Linked DNA regions of Danio rerio. The protein of the gene in region 2 purifies or fractionates together with the protein of the main gene of each other region. This does not show direct contact. Links are inferred from orthologs where the notes say so. Each region holds a gene or a part of one and is shown on either strand. Other genes may lie near its edges.

What was found.
Region 1: the proteins of amfrb (region 2) and erlin1 purify together in Homo sapiens (affinity purification with mass spectrometry; 3 studies listed by BioGRID and IntAct, with this or other methods). This does not show direct contact. The link is inferred for Danio rerio from reciprocal best matches to the Homo sapiens genes AMFR and ERLIN1.
Region 3: the proteins of amfrb (region 2) and insig1 purify together in Homo sapiens (affinity purification with western blotting; 6 studies listed by BioGRID and IntAct, with this or other methods). This does not show direct contact. The link is inferred for Danio rerio from reciprocal best matches to the Homo sapiens genes AMFR and INSIG1.
Region 4: the proteins of amfrb (region 2) and faf2 purify together in Homo sapiens (affinity purification with western blotting; 9 studies listed by BioGRID and IntAct, with this or other methods). This does not show direct contact. The link is inferred for Danio rerio from reciprocal best matches to the Homo sapiens genes AMFR and FAF2.

The regions. Positions count from the first base shown.
Region 1 is NC_133188.1:27,917,380-27,922,140, forward strand, and holds the end of erlin1 (erlin-1), read right to left. Parts: intron 3,262-4,761; coding exon 3,052-3,261; 3' UTR 2,219-3,051; downstream 1-2,218. UniProt on the Homo sapiens protein: Component of the ERLIN1/ERLIN2 complex which mediates the endoplasmic reticulum-associated degradation (ERAD) of inositol 1,4,5-trisphosphate receptors (IP3Rs).
Region 2 is NC_133182.1:35,370,853-35,376,819, reverse strand, and holds part of amfrb (E3 ubiquitin-protein ligase AMFR-like), read right to left. Parts: intron 4,219-5,967; coding exon 4,178-4,218; intron 2,677-4,177; coding exon 2,544-2,676; intron 1,455-2,543; coding exon 1,321-1,454; intron 786-1,320; coding exon 675-785; exon of another isoform or gene 607-674; intron 492-606; coding exon 313-491; intron 12-312; coding exon 1-11. UniProt on the Homo sapiens protein: E3 ubiquitin-protein ligase that mediates the polyubiquitination of lysine and cysteine residues on target proteins, such as CD3D, CYP3A4, CFTR, INSIG1, SOAT2/ACAT2 and APOB for proteasomal degradation.
Region 3 is NC_133182.1:41,358,233-41,364,781, reverse strand, and holds the start of insig1 (insulin-induced gene 1 protein), read left to right. Parts: upstream 1-2,010; 5' UTR 2,011-2,169; intron 2,170-2,334; 5' UTR 2,335-2,340; coding exon 2,341-2,674; intron 2,675-3,287; coding exon 3,288-3,412; intron 3,413-4,027; exon of another isoform or gene 4,028-4,211; coding exon 4,212-4,378; exon of another isoform or gene 4,379-4,595; coding exon 4,596-4,695; intron 4,696-6,549. UniProt on the Homo sapiens protein: Oxysterol-binding protein that mediates feedback control of cholesterol synthesis by controlling both endoplasmic reticulum to Golgi transport of SCAP and degradation of HMGCR.
Region 4 is NC_133189.1:56,136,062-56,142,125, forward strand, and holds part of faf2 (FAS-associated factor 2), read right to left. Parts: intron 4,816-6,064; coding exon 4,739-4,815; intron 4,655-4,738; coding exon 4,516-4,654; intron 3,326-4,515; coding exon 3,240-3,325; intron 3,151-3,239; coding exon 3,059-3,150; intron 2,716-3,058; coding exon 2,538-2,715; intron 517-2,537; coding exon 345-516; intron 1-344. UniProt on the Homo sapiens protein: Plays an important role in endoplasmic reticulum-associated degradation (ERAD) that mediates ubiquitin-dependent degradation of misfolded endoplasmic reticulum proteins.

The DNA.
Region 1 (4,761 bases), on a different chromosome or scaffold from region 2:
CAACTCTTGCAAGAAAGTTCTTGGCAATGCATATTGTTAATCAAAATGTATGTCTTGATATATTTATGATAGGAAATTTACAAATTGGAACATGATCATGTCTTATTCTAATAATTTTTACTGGTATATTTCATTGTTGGCTACTCTTATATAAACCCATGCAACTTAAGACTGGTTTGATTGTCTAGGGTCAAATACACAAACAACAGTGAGACTTTCTCACACTCCGTCAAGCAGGCAACAAAAACCAAGGGCCAAGTTTGGCATATACTTAAATTTATATTTTTATACCGCACTTCTTACATATGAAAGATGAGATCTATTTCCTATTCCTCTATATTTCTTGGAAAATAGCTCAAACCAAACTACAACACAATTAATCGTGACACAATCTATGACATAAAGCTATGTGAAACACTTCCTTAATAGGACATGAAGTGCACTTCCCTAATGTGAAGGAATATGATCACACAAGCGTCGTTTTCATGGTATCAAAATAGGTTTTATTTCACAGAATTGAACATTGTCAAAATTTTATAAATTTTGCATATAAATGTTTTAAAATTAGGAGCTTAAATTACGCTGACATAAAAAAGTGACATTCACAGAGTGGGTTTATTCCAGGGCAGTCAAAGTCTGTCCTCTCTCCATTTAACAACCACAGGGAACACATCGCTTTAAGACAGTCATATTCACACTCTAAAGCAAAACCATGGATAAAGTCAAACTTAAGGGATAGCTCACCCAAAAATTGACGTTTCCTCATCATTTGCTCACATTTAAGTGGTTCTAAACCTTTAGGAATTTCTATCTTCAGTTGAACACAAAACAAGATATTCTGAAGAATGTTGAGAGGAGAAAGCAGTCACAGAAATCCATAGTAAAAAAAAAAACTATTATGGAATTCAATGGCTGTTTTATTTCAACATTCCTCAGTGTTTCTTCATTTGTGTATTCAAAAGAAGAAACAAACTCAATTAGGAGCACAAGTAAATGACAGAATTTTGGGTGAACTATCCCTTTAAAAGGGAAAATGGCAAAAGCAACAGGATGTAGCATCAACAATCGGACTAACTGTATTAAATCAGTGCTCATCTCTTTAATCGACCAGTCTGCAAATGATGAAAAATCAACATGTCGTGTGACAGATTCACACAATCAACACAAACTGACACCCGACTCAAATTTCAGTCAAGTTTATATTGTTTTCTAAGAAAGAAAAAAACAGGCCATTCAAGTTAACACGCAGGTCTCTTTTCCTGAGATAGTACTGACAGACGCTATTCGAAATGATTTGATGCAATGCATTGCTATTATTGGCATATGACTGCAACTTATACAGATTTGACAACTTCCAAGAAAAGCTAAACCACAACGTTTTTTAACTGTTTGTTGCCTACTCTTGTAGTTCCTGAAGATCACTGGCTTCCCCTAGTGGTGACACTTCTCAGTATAAACACCCGCTCATCATAATGCTAAATGTTTGACAGTGCCTAATAATACAGCAGCCCTTATTGTTACTGAATTCCCTTTGAAATAAACTCATTCCAGTAATGACCAAATAAACAAGTTCAACTAAAGTCAGAAAGGCATTTGTTAGTCACTACACTATATATACACGACCATCCGAAAGCAATCCAATCTCATTGCTTGTCAAAGCCCTGGAAAATGAAATCTGAAATTGTATGAAACCCTGTTCAGTATGAACCCAACAACTTGAAAAATCCACAGGGCCGCCACAAATGAACATGCTACACAACACTATACCACAACCCACTATTTCTGACATTACATGAAATCCAATTCACAACAAAAGTATTCAGGCGTCAATGATGTCAAAAATCTTCATCTTGAAGACCAACAAAACTCAAGCAAGGGATGATTTTAAAATGAGATCATTCTTACAAACATATAATAATCAGAATTATAATTAATAACATATAAAAGCCGCTGATCTTTGCAGTCTTGGCTCAACTAAATTAAGATTTTAGTGCTTATCAAGTTAGTGATGATGGACATGAGCACTTTTGCAAAAGGACTACTCACCAACATTTAATATTGTCATTGCTTACTCATCCTCACATCATTCCAGACTGGATTTAACTTATTTTGGAAACAAAGTTATTATTTTTTAATTATTTTTGTCCATTTAATTAAAACCAAAGTGATCCAAGCAAAGTTCAACATTGGAGACTGTTGGTTTGCACTGTATGGACAAAAAAAAAAAAGATATTGAAAAATGTAGTTTATCTTTTCATGTTCCACAAAAGAAAGCATCACCGCTTTGAGGATGAACAAATGATGACTATTTAGAGGTGTAGTGAAACATCCCTTTAACAACATATGAAAAAAAGAAGATGACAGTTTGGCTGCAAAATGAGTTTGATCATATTGTAGATATATAAAGGGATAGTTCACGCAAAACTCAATCATCATTTACTTGTTGAAAACCTTTTTGAGTTCCAAAAAATGGTGGACACTGGTAGCCACTGACTTCCATAGTATTTGTTGTTCCTACTATGGAATGTTATTGGTTACATGTTTTCAGCTTTCTTCAAAACATCTTTTGTGTCAACTATCCCTTTAAGCCACTCACTGCCTTCTAATTAGTGTGATGCCTTATAATTCCAGTTTCAAAAGACAACACAAAAGATGAACCTCCAAATGTTCACATACTTTACGCAGACGCATCTGCATCTAACAAATAATTAGCATGGATCTGTAAAAGAGAAGAGAAAGCTGAGCAACAAAAAAAGGGGGGAAGAAAGCATGCTGATGTGAAACAGGAACATTTTAGCTTCGAATCTGGCGATAATCAATAGCACAATTGCTGGACGTTACCATTTAGTCCACTAATGACTGCTGGAAAACCAAAGGCTCTGTATGTCAGTCTCCTCAGCGAGCCAAGCACCCAACACCACTGCAGCAGAAGAGGGAAAATATCCATGTCAGCATGCCTCACAAGCACCCCTGCCCCAAAACAAGAGACAGAGAATGAGAGAGAGAGAGAAAGAGAGAGAGGAAGAAGGGGGTGGACAGATCTCAGGCCCTTCAGTGGCCTTCTGAGGCTTTGGGCTTGGACGCTTTCTTAAGACTCTCTCTCATGCTCAAGGACTCCAGCTGCTCGGATTCTCCTGCGGCCGGACGGGAGGCACTGCTGTCTACAAACATGTTTGGGATGTCCTGACCGAAGTAGATCTTGCTGTTGGCAGCTATGGCCTGGTACTTCATCAGCTGCAGATACTCTGGCGTGAGCTTGAGCTGTGGAGGAGGGAGACAGAGAAGTGTCTGATGAACGATCTGAGCTAGTCCTGTGTGGAATGTGCCTTCGTGTGTTCAAGGTAGACGCTACAGACTCCTAGAAGAGCTTTCGTAACATAGCATAGCTTGAATGATGTTTGAGGTTTGTGCAAGCTGAAAAAAAAAGTACTTCAGTATGTGGTTTTATTAAGTTTCTTTTTTTTAATCAATTTATCAGACTAGACTGGTGTATGTAATTTAGAAACAGTGAACAAAGCAACAGTTAAGTGTCTGATTTAAACTTGTACGTTAAACAGAGTTATAACACGGCTGTCTGGAATACTCGATTCTGATTGGTCAGTCGTGACATTCCAAGGTATGTTATTCAGAGTTAACAAATAATACAGGCTCATATGGGATCTTCGAATCGTTGAGCGTCAGTGAATAAGTTCAAATCCTTAAATCTGCATTTAAATAGATCTCCTTGTTTGTACTGCTGTGGTTTTAAACTTGTTTGGCGACATCTTCTGAATAAATAATGTATAGTTTGGTACATGGTTTGTTCAGTCGGTTTCACTTCTGTCAGCATAATTTTTTGGACTGTCTGGCAGCATCTTGTGACTGAATAATAATGTACAAGTTAGTGTATAGTCCATTAGCTGTTTTAGTTTTTGTCAGTTTAATTAAAGTCTTATTGTCATGTTTTGTGGCAAGTAGCCATGCAATAAGCAGCATAAAGTAAATCCAGGAGGATTGTTTTTTACAGAAACAAAGCCCTTGAGTCTTTGCGTCAGACTGCTTATAAGCAGGGCCAGACGGAATCTGCTGACATTTTTTGCTAATTCTGCTGAGAATTTTGCTTAAAATCTGGATTTCTGCGGAATTATTTTGGGAGTATCATAACTAAAACCTTAAAAAGTAATCCATCTTTTATTTAATGTTTAAATTGCAAATCCAATTATCAAGTCTCATATAATATATCTACTAAAAGACATTAATCAGATGAACATTTTCATATTAGTCAATAATATTACTGTAATTAATTTAAAAACTAAATAAACTTAGATTTACACACATTTACTAAAGCAAATAAACAGAATCAATGATGGGCTAAAAATCTGCGGAAAATCTGTGGAATTTTGAGCGTGCAGATTCCGTGTGGGCCTACTTATAAGCCAGTCCGGCTTTAATCTGAGGTGATAACCCAGCGGATGTACTTTATCTCTAACTTAATGCACTTAATAACATATTAAAACATCTTTAAAATAAAAAAACTCCCTTCATGCATTTGTCGAAATAGATTTTCCAGAATATGAAATAAAACAATTAACATCTAGCATGCAAAACATGCATGCCCAGTGTTTGAATTTCTTTCTACTAAGATGTAGGTGTTTGTGTAGCACATTTCGCAGACAATGCTAAATTTCAGTTCTGCTTTACGAGTAATAAAATGCTTGATGTTTATAATTGATGTGGTTTACAGTAAATTCCACTAAACCTTCTGTTTGTTTTATATGCGAC
Region 2 (5,967 bases):
AATTTGAGAACCTGAAAAATTTAACAAGTTTAAAAAGTTTAACTACTGTACAAAAGGTAAGACATTTTCCAATAGATACCCAAACACTATTTTGAAGATTGCTAAAAGAGTGACTGTAGAAAAAAAGTGTACAATTCCCCTTTAAAGCAATGATCTCTTAAAAAAACATAGAAAACGAGCCTGTAAAGTACATAAATATACAGCATTAAGTCAAAGGAATACATAGTTTGAATGGTGTGTAAAGTGGAATTTCATTATAGAGCATATTTTATAAATGCATTGACTAGTTTTAAAAGTATTTATTAATTTTACCATTAAAATGAAAAAGTTGACTGTGGTATCTGGTTGGAGGTCTGCTAGGCACATCAGTTGCTCCCAAACTGAACAATGCCCCCTCCTGCTCATTTCCAGTATGACCGCCACTCATATTTACAGACATCCTACATGTAGGACATGACATATTCTGCTCAAGCCAGGAACGCAGACATGACCTGGGAAACAACAAAACATGTTCACTATAGTCGTATAGTCTTAATTAGCAAAAGAACAATGACTGTTCCACAGAAACAATGAATACACGACCCATTCAAATGAACTCGCATTTACCTAATGTCATTCCCTAGGGTGGTAAAGTCATTTATTGGAACAAAGTAAACACATGATCTGTTTCATACTTGTGAAATAGATGGCCACAGGGTAATTTGTATGCTGTGTACATCTTTTCCCAGCAAATAACACATCTGTCATCACGAGATGCCAGCTCTTCCATTGTAGCCATTGAAAACCTGCCAAAAGAAAAGACTTTATGATTTATAAGCTTGTCTTTTCCCATTTTAATACTGCAAATTACCAAAACACAGTGCATAGCAGTTATCTTATTTACACATACAAATAAATTAACATACAGCACAATAATAAAGGGGCGAAACTTACACTGACATTTCAGGAAATTCATGTTTACCATTAAATATTAATCAACTCCTTTCAAAGACTTTGAAGAAACATTAATTAACAATGTGAAAAAGACAATGTTTTCTAATATTTGTTATATTCATATATTAATGAATTAATTTACATTTACAACAGTACAAGTTTGTGTTGGTACTTTGCAGTGATATACACTTTAGTACTACCTATATAAAAAACACGGCAGCAAAATTGCATGTGATTGACATTAAATTTGACATTTCTCTCTTCTGAATGCCCTCCATGTCCACCCCCCCCCCCCAACACACACACACACACACTCTCAGACTGTCTTAGTATTTATTTTGATATTGCAAAAAGAGATATATAAAAAAGCTTAGCAGTAAAACATACCTTGTGTCCATAACATCATATATGTGCATGTAGTTCTTGTGTTGAAATAATTTGCGCTGCATTTCTTTTGCCAAGAATCGTATGTGTGTCAGTATAAATAAATCAGCCACTGAGAACCAAACGTTCCCATATAGCTGAAAAAGAAAAACACAGGCAAAAATCAAGGATAATTAGTGCTATTCATTATATTATTTACTAGCAAAAAAATCCTGTAAAATTATTTATTAAAGGAGCTATATGCAAGGATTATCATAGATTATTAGCTCTTTTGTCAGTGTGTAAACAGCTTCTAATGAAACTCTTGAGACAAGACCTTGGCTGATTTCCTAGGTTGTCTATTAGGATTTGGACTTATGAAGCATGTTATTCTAATTAGAAACTTCTCTTTTTTGACACATGAAACAAATTGTTATGCAATGAGGATAATGCTGAAAGAAAAACTATATTTCAATGTTAATATGTTTTAGAAAAAAAGATAATTAATTATAATTAATTATCTACAGTCTCACAAAGCTTTAAAGTTCATAGTCTCAAACAGAGTAATCGAACAAAGTGTAAGTCTACTTGAAAATTCTCAGTTTTTCCAAGAATGCAGCAATTTATTTTTTAAAAGCTAATTAATTCAACTAAAAAGTAACTCACATAAAATTTTTTAAAGTAACTTAAATAATTTTACTTATTCTTTTTTTAAAATAATGCATTACTTATAATCATTAATAAGAAAAGTAATACTATTATGTAACTTGTGCTTATTTTGATATTGAGAAAAAAAATTATGTTAAATGTCAAACTAGCATCACTATGGGGTGCATATGTGTTCATCATCACTATATTGCTGCAAAATGTTTCCAACCTCTTTATTCTTACAAATTAAAGTATTTTTTTTTTAAGTATATTAAGGAACTCAATCACACTCAGTCCTTTTACATGAAGAGTGTACAAGTTGCTGACTGCAGTTTACTAGTATCGCTAATATCACGGGTTTGGCAATGCCACACATATACCCCTTTAATCGGTGGTTCTCAACTTCAATTTTGTCTTTTTAATTGGACAAATATGGTCCAGTTAATGGAGCTCATTGTTTATGGTTAGATTATTTGCATCAGTTGTGTTATTTAAGAAATACATGCACAATGTGCAGACATAACTCACCAAGGCTGGAGTTGAGAACCACTGCTTTAAATAAATGAAATATTTTCTAACAAAAAAGATGATTGTCTCACCAGCATGTTGATGTGGTGCATCATATCTAGGAGGAGAATACCCATCTCCATGACAAAGTCTGTGTAATAAATAAAGACCTCTTTACCTTCCCAGGAACTATCACACATCAGGTCATAGAGGTGAATTGCGTACCTGGGCAAAAATGATATATCATTTATATTAAGCAACTTTTAGAAAAATGTGTGTAACATAAATTTCAAGTTATGGGGGCTTTTGTTTAGCAGATGTGTATTCAGTCCCTTCAGGATTTTGCAAAGAATCTATACTTGAGTCCTGTTAAAACTAAATACATATTACAAATAATTATATATTTTACAAGCCAATCAGATTTTTAAGTTGAACTTTTTAATTAACCAGGCAATTTTTAAAAATATATATATGTTAGTGTCAATACTGATAACAAGGGAGAATTTTTAGCCCCCTGAAAATTAAAAAATGTTGGTCTTCAGACAATTCTTCATGCTAGATTTGTGCTTTGACATGCTCTGTCAACCCTGGGAACTTTTATATTCAAATCATGTCCAATCAGCTGAATATACCAAAGGTGAACTCCAATTAAGCTGCTGAAACATCTCAAGAATAATCAGTGGAAACAGAATGTACCTGAGCTCAATTTAGAGCTTTACGGCAAAGGCTGTGAATACTTATGTACATCTGATTTTTCAAGTTTTTTATTTTCAATTAATTTGCAACAATTAAAAAAAAAATCTTTTTCACATTGTCATTATGGGGTATTGTGTGTAGAATGTTGAGAAAATAAATGAATTTAATCCATTTTGGAATTAGTTTGTAAAAAAAATAAAATGTGGAAAAAGTGAAGTGCTATGAATACTTTCTGGATGCACTCTAAGTATACAGTAACAGTGAATACATATTCACTACCATCTTCTGCCACGCTCCCATTTTGTTATTTCTCCCGGAAAACTCCCATAATTTTACCCCCAACTAACCCCACACCCAGACCCCCCTCCCCCTCCTTTCTTTTTCTCGGACTTTCAGAGAGAAATTTTGTCAGGTATGTTCACTACTGTTGCAACCCATCTTTCATATTATACCTCTTGGGGCGATATAATGTTAACATATTTAATAATAATGTGGTTAATCTTTGATTTTAAGCATAAAAAACCTGTTGCAGTCTGCTTAATGTTACTCAAGACAAAGTTCTCTAGACGATTTATCTTCTTCAACTACTGCTTTTCCTTTTGTTTAATATCTATCTCAACATTCCCTGACCCACTGGATTATTTTTTTCTTCATCAATAAATAATTATGAAGAGTCCAGTTTATTTGTTATGCTGCTCGTGCTACAATAAAAAAAATTAAGCATTCATATTCCATCAACTCTCCATAGTAGATTTGTGTTTTTTTTGGGGGGGATACTATTTCAATATACATGTTTCTATGAACACAAGTAACTTAACAAGCAACACAGCAACACAATATGCTTAGAAGTTTCATCAATATTTCAATAAAGCGCAAATGTATGATTTTTGACACTATATTGTATATGGAACTTGTATTTAGAACTTGCTGTGATGTTATAACTTATTGTTGATAGATGTTAGTTTATTATATTAATTTATTATGTTACTAATATGTTACTTTCTGAAAACTCACATTTCCAAATACTTACCGAAGAATTGAATGGTTCACATAAACAGATACCATTAGGCACTAGAAAAACAGAATCTGTGTATTAAAAAACGAGTGTATAGAGTGCTTTCTGTCACACCCAGTGATTGCTTTCACATGCTTTTACACACTAGTCTTTCAAAGCCAGACTTTCAGACTCACAGTTAGAGATCTGGGGATATTCACAAAACATCTTAAGGGTTAATTTGCAGATTTAAGACAATATCTTTAATACAATGGTTGTGCCAGTCCAAATTTTAGAACTCTGAGAAATTTTGGGGATAGGGAAGAGGAATGGATTTGTGAAAATGGATTTTGTGAAAATCTGCCTTAGAGGAAAAAAAATAATAAAAAATTAAAGCTGCAAGCAGCGATGATAGGGACCTCGCACCCGGGCTCACCGCCGCCCGGTAGCCTCAGGATGACAGAGAGAACAGCGAACAACATTAATTTAAGCTGATATATATAAATAACCAGAGAAAATCACAGATTTATGCCGAACTTCCTCCTGTCAGCAGGTGGCGCTATAATTGTGACTAAAGATTTTTATGTAGATGCCTTCAGTAGAAGAGTCTTATCAACCGTGTGATTTTTCAGGCAGATCGGACATTGTGTGGCTGAGTTATAAGCCAAACTACCTTCTGCCAGCAGGTGGCGCTATGACTGACTCAATTATGTTATGTGGATGTGTTCAGGAGAGGAATTTAATCAACCATTTGAAGTTTCAGGCAGATCAGACATTGTGTGGCTGAGTTATAAGCCAAACTACATTCTGCCAGCAGGTGGCACTATGACAGATTCAATATTGGCTTTTAAATGTCTTCAGAAGAGGAATTTAATCAACCATGTGTAGTTTCAGGCAGATCAGACATTGTGTGGTTAAGTTATAAGGTAAAATTCCTTCTGTCAGCAGGTGGCGCTATGACTGTAACTCAATATAGGTATGGGGATATGTTCAAGAGAAGAATTTAATCAACCATGTGAAGTTTCAGGCAGATCGGACATTGGCTGTTTCTCAATTCCAAAGAACGCAGAGAATGGACTTGCGTTCTTGTAGAGTGCGGTCTTGCCAGCTGTCCTCGGAAGAACGAACTCAGGAGACCGCGAGGGCAGAGAACGCGTCCTTTGAGAAATGGGATGCTGCGTTCTTCCTGATGGTCATGTGACCTTTACGCGTTTTAACTGGAAATTAATTAAACATTACAGCCTTCATACAACGATTTATTGTTTCCCCCCTCTTCAAAATATATACTTTGCATAAAAACATTATAAATATACTCTGCACATTATAAATAAAACAAATTTTAATACGAATTTCATCAAACAAACACAATTAATGTGTTTATTCCTTTATTAAGATGTTCATGTTAATGTTTACCTTCACCGTTTCATTTAGGGAAACTCCTGAGGTAAATAAGTGATATCTCTGAACTTTAATAATAAATCTAAATAAAATGCTGCGCTTTCCACCTCCAGTCGCAATGACTTCTGGGACTTCCAGAGCGAGTTCGCTGTTGAAGTCTGCATCGGTGCGTCCTCGATATCAAGAACACATCCGGGAAGTTTCACGCGTCCTCCGTACTTGCGGTCTTGAGTATTGGAACTGAACTTAGGCAGCTAATGATGACGTTTCACGAGAACACGAGGACGCAAGACCGCTGAAGAACGCATATTGAGAAACAGCCAGTGTGTGGTTGAGGTATAAGGACTTCCTGTTTCATGGCGAAGCGTTGAGGTTTGTCATGCCACCACATACACGCCCCTCCGCAAAAACTCTAGATCTTCACAATA
Region 3 (6,549 bases), about 6.0 Mb from region 2:
GCGTCTTTCCAGAGCAGAAGCTAATGGAGTGGAGATAGACACGTTTACATGGAAATCAGTAATCAAATTATTTCTGAATATGGCAATATTATGATTAAGGTGTTTATGAGTAGCTTTTTGAATGTTCCTTTCATGATCCTGTTTTACATGTTATAGCACAAAATTCGATTATAACGTCATCACGCTATCCACATTTCCACATTTCCTCCGGAGTAATGTAATTTGATGTAATTTCGGGTGTTTCATTTTTAATTTGTTGACTTCAACTACAGTTTGACTCTTTCACTTTCATTCAGGAACATTTCATTCATGCCCCCTGTGACAAACAAGATATTGGATGAGATTAACAGCTGGAAGAGTGTTGTTTTAATATAATTTGATATCGCAGTTTGCCATCTTAATTAACATAAACAAAGAACACTGATCGCTTACCAAAACTAGACAGGACAATCAACATCAACTAGAACCGCGTTTTTTTTAAAAGAAGGAAAGCGGCAAATCTGGATTTCACCATTTCCAGATGTGAAAAGCTCATCTGGTAAAAAAAACACTGACGATCCATATCTCCAAACAATTCTTCTTCTACTACTTGTTTTAATTATGGTTGGTCATCTGGGCACTGTAACAGGTAAAAACCGTCTTTGAACTATATCATGCATATTAATGAAGTTGCACCTCATTCACAGTAGAGCGCGCTGATTGGTTCGAACCAAGTCTTTGTAATGAATTTATGCTGAAAACTCAGACATCATGTTGTACCGGTTCAGACATCCAGTCTCCATGCTGGAATTTACACTATGATCTCATGGCCGTAACGCAGCTTCAAAATTTCTTTTTAAATCTGAAGAATGAATTGGCTCAAATATTGCAAAACCCACCAATTTTCACTTTTTTGTGAAATATATGTGTCCTAATAGTGTTTTAGCAACGTGAGTCATATTTATGATTGTCAACATCTCAAAAAAATGTGTTTTGGTGTTTCGTGACTCGTTAACATCCACAGCACGTTTCCATTGCACATAAGTTTCTCTGTTGAAAAAAGGTTCATTAATGTGTTTAGGATGTCTTTCACACCAATAAAATAATGCTTCTTTTCTGAACTTTCATCAACACAAAAGCTTTTTAGATATCAAAAATGGTTATTTTCTAGCACTGCAACGAAAAGCCCATTTTGGAACCTTTATTGTAAAAACAGCAGCTAAAGAGTTGTTGACAGTCATTCTTGACAAGGGGCAAACATCAGACTCATTTATCTGGTGAGGAGTGGTTCCACTGAGGTAAGAGACTGAACTCTGTTCTGCTCTGAATCAATAAACTATAAGTACACAAGTTTATTTACAGTGGGGGAACAGCCCACTGAGCATCATGACCTGATTTCTTGTTTTCAGTCTCACGGACACGTACTGCACGCTGTCACGTATAGCCAACAAATCCGCATTATCTCATACACTTTCAGGGCCTGTTCACTCATAGTGAACTAAAAAAAAGTTCATATCAGCAAAAAGCTTTCTTGTCTGTACCCTGAAAAGATTACAAATACATTTACCCAACAAGTAGTTTGTTTTGTGCAAACAGGAGAACAGCAATATTGAACACTGAGAAAATCTCGAATCAGTGCTGTATTGCTTAGTTACTGAAAAGGATTTAGCAAAGCAAGGTCATTAAACTTAACCAATCTAGAAGTTTAAGACTTTTCTGCATGACTCTGGCATAGCGTCAACACACACACACACACACACACACACACACACACACACACACACACACACACACACACACACACACACACGCACACGCACACACGCACACGCACACACGCACACGCACACACACACACACACACACACACACAAGGCGAACAGCTGATGGCGAACATCAACAGCGCGTGTCTGTCAGAGAGGGGTGGCGCGCGTTCGCGTCATATGGCCCGCCGCACTCTGATTGGCTAGAGAGACTCACCAGACATGACCGCGCTTGTTTTCTGCAGAGGAAGCGCGCGTGTGGCAGTGTTCAACTGAGGGATGAAAAGAGGCAGCAGTATTTCTCTTACAGATGATGTGATCAAACAACACATCTAAACTATTTGTAGGTAGCCTTTCGTTTTTGTAAAAGAGTTTTGAAAGCACAGACGTGTTCTGCTTTAGACGAAGACATCGCTAAAAGATCAAGGTGGGTAGCCTATTCATTCCCTTTACTTCCACTTCATACTCATTGGGAACAGATTGTTTTTTGGGCTACAGCACTGCTTTTTGTAGCGTAATACTTGACTTTCAACATTATTTTATTTGATCAAGTTAGTGATAATTATTAATGAGTATTACTGTTTTCCAACAGTGCCAAATGCCAAGACTAGAGGAACATTGTTGGAGCTGCTCCTGTTCGACCAGTGTGAAGACGAAGGACCTGTCAAGCGCCGGCTGGATTGTCTGTAAAACGGGTGAAATGATGTCCATCATAACCTCAGTGCTGAGCCACGCGTACGGCTCTCTGCACAGCCTCCAGTCCGCCAATTTAATTCGACGGGGGCTTGTGTTGTTTATCGTGGGAGTTGTGCTCGCTTTGGTGTTAAACTTGCTACAGATCCAGAGAAACGTTACATTGTTTCCAGAGGAAGTGCTGGACACGCTATTTTCGTCCGCCTGGTGGATTCCCCTCTGCTGTGGCACCGCTGCTGGTGAGTCTGTCTGAAACACTTGGGCTCGAATGCTTTGTTCGTGACGATAACAAACAAAGACGGTGTGCTTGCTGAGGGCTTTTTGTTATCGTGTCTTTTATGTAAGATGAGTGATTCGGGGACAGTTTTGTTGACATTGGGCTTTGTAGCTATCAGTAAGCGCTGCCCTGGTAACAGCCGGGCATTTGGGGTCATTCTTGGGGTGCTGCATTCTCATTGGCTGCGCTCAGAACGGGTGAGCTGCGAGAGAGGCACGCCATTGGCTGGTACGCCGAACATGCCACTTACCCGAAAAGAGAAACACGGAAGTCGTGTGCAGCAGAAATTAATAAATAATTCGGTCACGCTCGACTCCTCCCCCTGCATTCCTCATAGTGGTGATGTGGACGCGTATCAGTTTACATCCTTTTCAGTAGAAAATGCCTTTTAAAGAGTTTTGTTGTACTTGAACTCTTCTTATGAGATTTATTTAAACACAAAAGTCATCACCCATTATTTATATACTAAAAGGCGTCAAACAATACCAAGCAGATGTAAAAAATGTTTTTTTCTTCTTCTTTTTTCCCCCTTTCAATGAATGTTGTTTAAAGTACTTTCTGTTTTCTCTTCTCAGCTGTGGTTGGTCTGTTGTACCCCTGCTTGGACCACCATCTTGGAGAACCACACAAGTTCAAGCGGGAGTGGGCAAGCGTGATGCGCTGCATTGCTGTCTTTGTGGGCATCAATCACGCCAGTGCTGTATCCTTAACAGTGACACTTTTACAGTTGCAACCATTGTGGACAATGAAAACTTCCAAACCTTTTTGAGATTTTTGTTTTAAGTCTGTAATAAGCCATGTTACTATTCAATAGCATTAGACAAATCCTTTTTTTTCTTAATCTCTTAACTGTCACATATTTATTTGTTTTTGTCTGAACCTGAATTTATCTTGACAAATTATACATCAAAGGCTAAACTAAAAAAGTGGGGTGACCCGTTAAAGTACTAAACATATTTACACAGCAATAATCTATGCAACGAGAATTATGCTTATCTAATATTTTTAAAAAGTCTTATGTATTGAGGATAGTTGTAATAACGCTGAAAAATGACTAGAAATGCTCAGTACTCTGACCCGGCCAGAAGTTGAAAACTCTGCACACGATATCATTTAACCTTTTTTAAGTTTTGTTTTGACGACTCTGAGTCTGTGTTTTTGGGTAAATGAACAGCAAAAATGCATAAAAGTTTTTATTTTTTGTTGTCATGTAAATATACCTTAAAACTTTACATTAACTCTGAACTCAAACAGTAACATGCACTTCATTGCCAAGAAACCCCATGTAAATGAGAACTGGGTTTTTTAAGAACTAAAAAAAAAAGTTTTTAATAAATTTGACTACAAAGTTTTTGTGGAACCTGTTTACTGCTCTCCAAATGTGTGGACCAGCAAAAACTTGGGAACCTGCACAAACTCAATTCTTGAGTTAACATCACAATGTTTTCAAAATGTATGTTAACATAAGAATATTTTGCTTAACTCAAAGTACCTTACAGAAACTGGACTTTGCTAACAATGTGCAGCTATCGCTAACTCTGGCTGCCCTGTCTCTGGGTCTGTGGTGGACATTTGACCGCTCCAGGAGTGGCTTTGGTTTAGGGCTGACCACTGCCCTGCTGGCCACTCTCATTGCTCAGCTGCTGGTCTACAACGGCATCTACCAGTAAGTTATGACTCAAACATGTTGACAAACAGCAACAGAAAACTGTTTTCATATCAACTAGCAAGTAACTAACACTCTCACATATTCATAATTTTAGTCGTAGAACATGTTTTTTTTGTAAGAAACATTAGCAAATATTATATCAAGTGCAAACACTCAGTTTTGTTTTTCCTTTAAGCAGCTCGTCATTTCAGTCCTTTTCTTCATTTGTTACCAGGTATACTTCTCCAGACTTCTTGTATGTCCGTTCATGGCTGCCTTGTATATTCTTCTCTGGCGGAGTGACTGTTGGAAATATTGGCAGACAACTAGCTATGGTAAGAAACTGCCCCTCATACCAGCCCCCTTTTCCAGTCTTTCATATTCCACAGAATAACTGATGTACTTGATTACTCATGTATTGTGGTTAGTTTCCTCTTGTGTTATGCACAAAGCCAATGGCCACTTTTGTTTAGCTTAAAATAAATAAATGGCAGAAATGAAACTTAGCTTTAGCTAAAGCAAAAGTGAAACTCAATATCTTGGCTCATCAGCTATTCAGCTGTTCCTCTTCTACTTGTATCCAGCCTGCGTGTTTTAGGAAGTAAATCAAACTTGGAGCCAGAATATTTAACTCAACAATTTCAATGTGTACAATTTAGCATGCAGCCGTAAGCTCTGTTCAGACAGGATTATTTTCTAAATGACATTAAAAGACAGTCATTAAAACAGGACTTGTGGCTTTCATAAACTGATTCCAATTAGGTTGGGAATCAAGTTTAACATTAGCAAAAGGAAGTGTAAAGATGGCTTGGGTTATTGTATTTGATGAAGGTAAAACTATCTAGATGTGAACAAACTAGGTAGCTGAAAAGTGGCAGGCAGTTTGTATTGTAATATTCATTTATACTTATAAAAATAAGCTAACTAAGTTTTAAATCTGCCTTAAATAAATGAAAACTAGGATTTAGGATTTTTGTGCATTCTCTTAAATATGTATAAACTATTTTCAGTATCCAATGTATTTCTTTAAAGCAACCAGTTTACCATTTTAGTGTTCTTTTGACACCCTCTAGCGCCTGAGCAGAAACGTCATGCTTGGACATCTTAATTAGCTTGTTTGTGCCATCCCCTCCAAGCCTTCTCAGTCAGCTGTGGCTCTTTGTCTTGCTGACATACCCTAGTTCTTTCTCAATAAGGGCGTGAAAGAAGATTACGCTCCTTGTTTTTCATGCTAATGGTCAGAGAGATGGTAAACAAAGTGCTTTACTGGCTCCAAGTGGTGCATTCTACACGTTGTTACTGGATGCTTTTTGTTTTCGAGCTGGCATCGGCTGATTTTGCTTGACCAATTGGGATTAGTGCTCTGCTAGTATTTTTCCCAGCTTTCTTTATGGAGGGGCCAGTTAAGAGATAGAGTTGATTAAAAAAACTAGAGGTAAATAAATCTAGTAAACCCGGACGTTTGCGTTTGTTAATCTTTTCATGTAAATAATGGCTGTATTTTAGAATACAACTATGATCATCAATTATGGTCACTCTACATAGTTTGGTTTAACATCTGACTAATTAAATAGTTCGATATCTAGTTTACACCATTAACACCTTTACCTTTTTATCATCGTCATTTCGTTGTGTACTGTAGGTGCACTGGAATCATTTAGAGAACATTGCCTGTATATGAAACGTTGTCATTTTTATTTCAACATTAGCTTTCCTAAAGACGGATTCAGCTGCCCTTGGGTGAGGCATGGCAGACAGTGCTGACCTACGAGGGGCTATCAAATTTTACAAGGCTGCCCATCCACATATAATCCTAACATATACAAAGCCCATTTCTTATATATAGTGCATACTAATTATGGCCACAGTGTTGAGAGGCCAAGTGGGTTTAACGGGATCAGGCTCAGCTTCATGAAAACCAATTTTGAGTTGCTCAAAGCACATTTTTAAAAGCACACCTGGGAACATGCTGGAACATATTTAGGTAGTTTGAAAGTCAGCCAAGTGCTCTGACTAATACATAATAATATAGTCAGGATAGTTTCTGCATATTAATGCTGCTTTTTGGTTGTATTGTACGCTGGTGTAGTTTATGCCCATTCCTATATTTTATGGAAATTAGGGACTTAATGCAAATTGAGCTGTTTTTCAGTTGTATCTATTTGGTTGTGAATATACTGTATTTTCAC
Region 4 (6,064 bases), on a different chromosome or scaffold from region 2:
TTTAGCCACGGGCGGCTGTTTCGGTCTTTAAGGATTAACAAAGATTAATTGTATTTAATTATTTATACAATGAAGAAGATACAGCTTTATTATACATTTGATTATTCTATTTCTGTACCTGTATGATGTTAGACTCCTTCATTTGTATATTCGATCTACATTATTTATATCTGCTTTTAATTTGTTTATTATAAGTTATGCAGATTAAAACATCTCAAGTTATTAAGTTATCTCAGGAAAGACTGCAAAATACAATGTACGTTTTTTACAATATCATGCAGCCCTACTTTTAAGGCAAGACTTAAGCATTTGTGAAATTTCTGCATATAATACTGAGCACTCACTCTTCGTCGTCTCTCCTCTGCGAGGACGGTCTGGCGTACTTTCTCCTCCTCTTGCCGTTTCTGCTCTTGTTCTTCTCTTTTCTTTCTGTCTTTCTCCTGATCTGCTCGCAGTGATGCCTCGTAAGCCTCGTCCTGCTGCTGTCGCAATACCTGCGTCTGATTCCTCTCTTCCCTGCAAATCACAAAAACACGATCAATTAAATAAAGAAGTATTTATTAAAGTAGTGGTTCTAAATTCCCGATTGCATAAAACAAAACAATGTTTGAATGCTTTAGCTTATTTTAATGTTCGTTTTAATTACTGCAGCATAATATCAAAATAAAAATGACTCCTCTTGCCATATGTATGAGCATAATTTGAACATTGTCGTTATTTTGAAATTAAACAGTATTTACACTGCAGCATGCATTGAAATTAAAAAGGATTAAAAATATTTTATTTTAAAATTAACATTTAAATTTCTATTATTTTGTGCAATTTTCGTTGTCATTAAATCATAAATATAAACCAGTGGTCACCAAACTTGTTCCTGGAGGGCCGATTTTAGCAACCCAACCCTAATCAAACACACCTGAAAAAGCTAATCAAGGCCTTACTAGGTATACCTGAAACATCCAGGCAGGTGTGTTGAGGCAAGTTGGAGCTAAACCCTTCAGGGACACCGGCCCTCCAGGACCGAGATTGGTGACTTCTGTTTTAAACCTTTAGTAACTGACTTCAAAATACTGGTAATGTGTCATATGATAACTCTGACAAAGAGATTTGGATTTTCTTTTCTTCTACTTATGATATTTATTCTTATATATGATATGATATTTACCGGCATATTTCATAGTGCTAATGGTTTCGAAAGAAATACTAAGGATGAAAGGAGGAAAGTTTTTGATAAAGTTTGTTAAACCAAAAAGAGAGGTCATGGAAAAAGTGGAGACCCGTGTGGAGAATGTTTTTTCAGCATTCATGGGTTTTACACTGATGTGTGTATATTGCATTATGAATTTAAAACAATTTAATAGTTACAAAACTAAAATGAAGCAACACAATTATTTCTTTGTTAACTGGAAAAGTATATTTGAACATATTGGTTTACAAAACACCAATGTCCTGCTTTTCTAGGCATTATTAGTGATAATGGTCAGGAACGTTGGACCATTATTGCCTTTTAAGCATATAACTTTTATGCTTTCCATAATATAACATAAAAATATACATACATACATACATACATACATACATACATACATACATACATACATACATACATACATACATACATACATACATTTATATATATTTGTAGAGTAACCCATGTTCTGTTGTCATTAATATTTTAATACTTAACTTTAATAGGTTAAACTGTCTGAGATATGAACAAAAGCAAGTGACGCATCAAAGTTTGATAAAAAAAAAAATAATAATTCTTGAATGGATAAAAAAAAATCTTTATAATCAATAAAATAATTTATAAAAGGGATTAAAATAATTAGTTAAATCTTGAATGATATTTATGATATGACGTAGTTCCAGAAACATCTTTGTTTATCCATCTGATTTTTTTCAGTTGGTTTCTTTTGTCCGCCCCCTGTAAGAATATCAAAATGGCGAACACGTCAAGTATAAAATCCTCGTCTGTTTCATGAGGTGTGCACGCAGTCAGCGGAGGTCCGCGATGCAGCGCCAAGCTAAATTTTAAAATCACCCTTTAAACATCTGCCATTTTAACAGCCTTAAATTATTTGTTCCGATGCAAAAACATCCCCTCCACAGAGTTATTTAGGTCATCTGCTGAAAATTTCCATTTTTTAAATGTTTCAATTCTGCATTAAATTTGCTTAAAAAGAAAAATTAGCATTAAAAAGTTAGGAGAGTCCAGAGACTAAAATGAAGTGCTAATGAACTTCTTTCTTGAAATAAAAAAGGCTGAGAATCATTTCTATAATTGTATGTATGTAGTATGCATATAAAACACATGTAAAGAATAAATGACCCTCTCACAACTATGCGGAACAGTCAAAAATCAATTCATCTTGATTTCTATAGCACTTTTTACAATGTAGATTGCAGCTTAAAACAGATGAAGTATTGGTAAATTGAAACAGCTTCAGTCCAGTTTATTTCAGCATCATGTAAATGTTACTGCTGAAAGCAAAAACACTAAATACTGAACAAATCAAACCATGTGATATCCGTACCTCTCTAGTCGTTCTGACATGAGATATGTCTGGTTTGCCTCCATGATGAAGGTCAGCTGGTTGATCAGATCCTCCGGCTGGATTAAACCCTCCAGTCTCCCAACCACCGTCATCTTCCGGTCCTTCAGCATGATCATGGCCAGGAATGGATAGGTGTTTTCACGCAGGGCCTGAGAGACTGAACACACGGCATGATGATCACGACAACATGACAATACACTCATCCAGGGCTGATAAAAGATATAAGGTAAAACAAAAATGAGAATGCAGGATGATATTGCACTGCAGCTCTGGCATTTTTGGCTTTAGCAATCCACCATGCTTGATCATTAATGGATGCATCTACCTGTAAACTAATGCTAACAGGTAATGGTTAAAGATTTATGTGGGACATCACACTGAATACATCAACAGCGAACAGAACGAATTAGAACCTGCGCTGTTGTGATGTAGAGATCTGCGCGGGACTAAATTTTAGTCCCTATTAGACTATTAGACAATATGAAGTGCAGCTGGTTCACCTCTGTAACCCTCTGGTTTGCTGGTGGAACATGCCCAGAACAACATCCTCGTGTTGATGAAGGTGAGCGCCTCTTCTGAACATAACGTGGATCTGAGAAAGAGAAACACACACCAGCTCCAGTTATAAGATCAGGAGACGAAACTTCATGTGAATAGTGGAGAACGTCACTGTAAACCCACCGGCAGAACTCGTCAGTGTCCTGGTGATCTTCTCCATGAAGATAAACTAACAAATAGCGAAGTTCTCGCTTGGCATCATTCAGAGCCTAGAAAAAAAACAAGCTCTTTAGATACACTTCTTATTTAGCAGTGTAAGAATAATACAGTTCATCAGCATCAATGTTAACCTGTCAGTCTTTAAGTAGCTTAACCCCAAAGATCTGCTTTTGAGACACTATTTTACACTTACTACAAACAAACCATTGTGTTTACTAAGCTCCGCAGAAAACTCTTATCAGATGTTTCTGCTGTTGTTTTGTTTCTATCCAATGAGATGGTAAAAGGCTCACATCCATAATAAAAGGCTCATTTTATAGTTTACACCTATCAGTTGTAGAAGGGGTTAACCCACATTCCAACCATAACATATAGTAAGTACATTTAATTAATTAATAATAAAGTATTCTGTAATAAACAGACAGACAGACAGACAGACAGACAGACAGACAGACAGACAGACAGACAGACAGACAGATAGATAGATAGATAGATAGATAGATAGATTAATAATTAATAATTATTAGATTAATTAATAATAAGTATGTACGATAACAAGAGCACCGTAAAATAAAGTGTAATCATTTTTTGTATTGAGGCCCCATTATGCTCTTCTCAGGTGTCCCCAGCAAGTGTCTCAGCTCAAAATTGTTATATCAGCCCACAATTTATTATATCATGCTGCAAATGTCTAGCATTTAGATCACTACATTTAAACGTTATCTCTTTAAATGCAAATGAGCTTTTGCTGCCCATTCCCCTTTTCAAAAGAGGGCGGAGCCTTTACAGCCTGTGCCTGAGTTACTCTAGAACCCACAAGCAAAACATCTGCACACATTTTAAGCCCTTGTAAATTTAAAATATGTTATTTCAGCACTAAACAGGTACATTTTAACCTGAGACAATCATGTGAGTATTAATTCTAATTTACCTCCTGCCAAATACAAATGTTTATGCCAAAGTCGCACAAAACCAATTGTTATAATAAGTTGTATATTACATGTTGATTATGTCTGAATGTAAACACAAGAGTATCAGTGAATTACATATGTAATACAGCAACATTTTCCTTGTGCAGGAATTATATCTTGGGAAAAATGTTTTTTAACAATACAGTAAATAACTACATTTAGAATGAGTCTTGTAATTTTGCAATCATTTTCAAGCTCAAATAACATCATTTTGCACATTTGGTTTGCTTTAGTGTGAAAAGCATAATCATAGGAGCCCTTTAGCATACCTGGCTATATGTTCCCTGGTAGAATACAGGATGCGATCGACCATATTTCTCCTCAAAACTATGAATAAATGACATGACATCTCCAACAGGATCTGTGACACGACCCCTCGGGTCTGGTCGAATGAATCTCAGGGCAAACCTGAAAAAGACAAGAAAAAAAACATTAGTAATGTAATATAATTCAGGTCGACATTTATATTTCAAAGATCAATTGATGTAATACCTGAATATGTCCAGAAGTGTATAATACGTAAACCTGAAGGGAAGCATTATCAAGTAGTAACTCCAACCTATTAAACCCTGTAAAAGAGAAAATGTTTATTTTATTTAAATTTAAAGAAAGAAAAACTATCCATTTATATTTTTTGAAGTAATTCTGTAATAAAAATATTCAGAAAAAAATCTAAATTTCTGTAATTATTAATATTCACTACAGCTAAATGCACGTTATGCATGTATAATTATAGGAAACATTGATGTATACTAGAAATAATATTTATATAATATTGTCACTATAAATAATAACAACACTTTACATATTTATTTTGCTGTATATTGTGTCAGAAATTATTGCAATAAGTTATATTAATGTCATTTTAAAATTATATAAAGATTTTACAACAACGTACTAATACAAATAAACTCTAAATGTCTTGAACGTTATTTGTGAATGCCTGTCGTTTTCTGGAGGTTTACTACAGCTTTGAATCGAACCTGCTACTTCATCAGTAAACATCAGTAGTTTTTAGAAAAATGTGATAGTGTAAGTCTCCTATTCTTTTGCGGTCACTAAACTGTTTGTAAATGTGTAACCTGAGCTTGCCCACATGAAAATACTGCAGTGTTTTTCAACCATACTATACAGGGTTCATACACATTTTTACTACTAAAATTCCATGACTTTTCTACGGAGACCCGGAAGGGACGTGATGGTGAAAGAAAAAATAATGGGTGGGAGAAAAAAAAAAAAGGTGATAGGTAGACATATTTTTGAAAGTTTTTGCGTTCCCTCGCATAGATGTTTTGCGTTCCCATGGATTGTCCCGTATTTTACCATTATATCCTATTATTAGGTATTTTCCCATATTTCTCTCATATTTTTAATCCTGAAAGCATGTTGAAATTTATCTAAAAATGTCTGAATTCACTTTCTTTCCATTAAAGCTGTGCGTCGATCAGCGGCCCTCATATGTAACCTCTAAACCCAGCTATACCTCTCTTTTCACCCTGATGATCCCTCGGTTCCGCCTCGCATCTCAGCCTGCCTGTCAGACATTTCACAGTGGATGAAAGATCATCATCTTCAGCTTAACCTCACGAAAACAGAAATGCATGAAGTTTCTGCCAACCGGACTCTACATCATAACTTTTCAATACAGATGGATGGGGCAACCATTACTGCATCCAAAATGGTGAAAACCCTTAGAGTAACGATTGATGACCAACTAAACTTCTCTGACCACATCTCTAGAACTGCTCGATCATGCAGATTCGCACTCTACAACATCAGAAAGGACCGACCCTTCCTATCTGAACATGCAGCTCAACT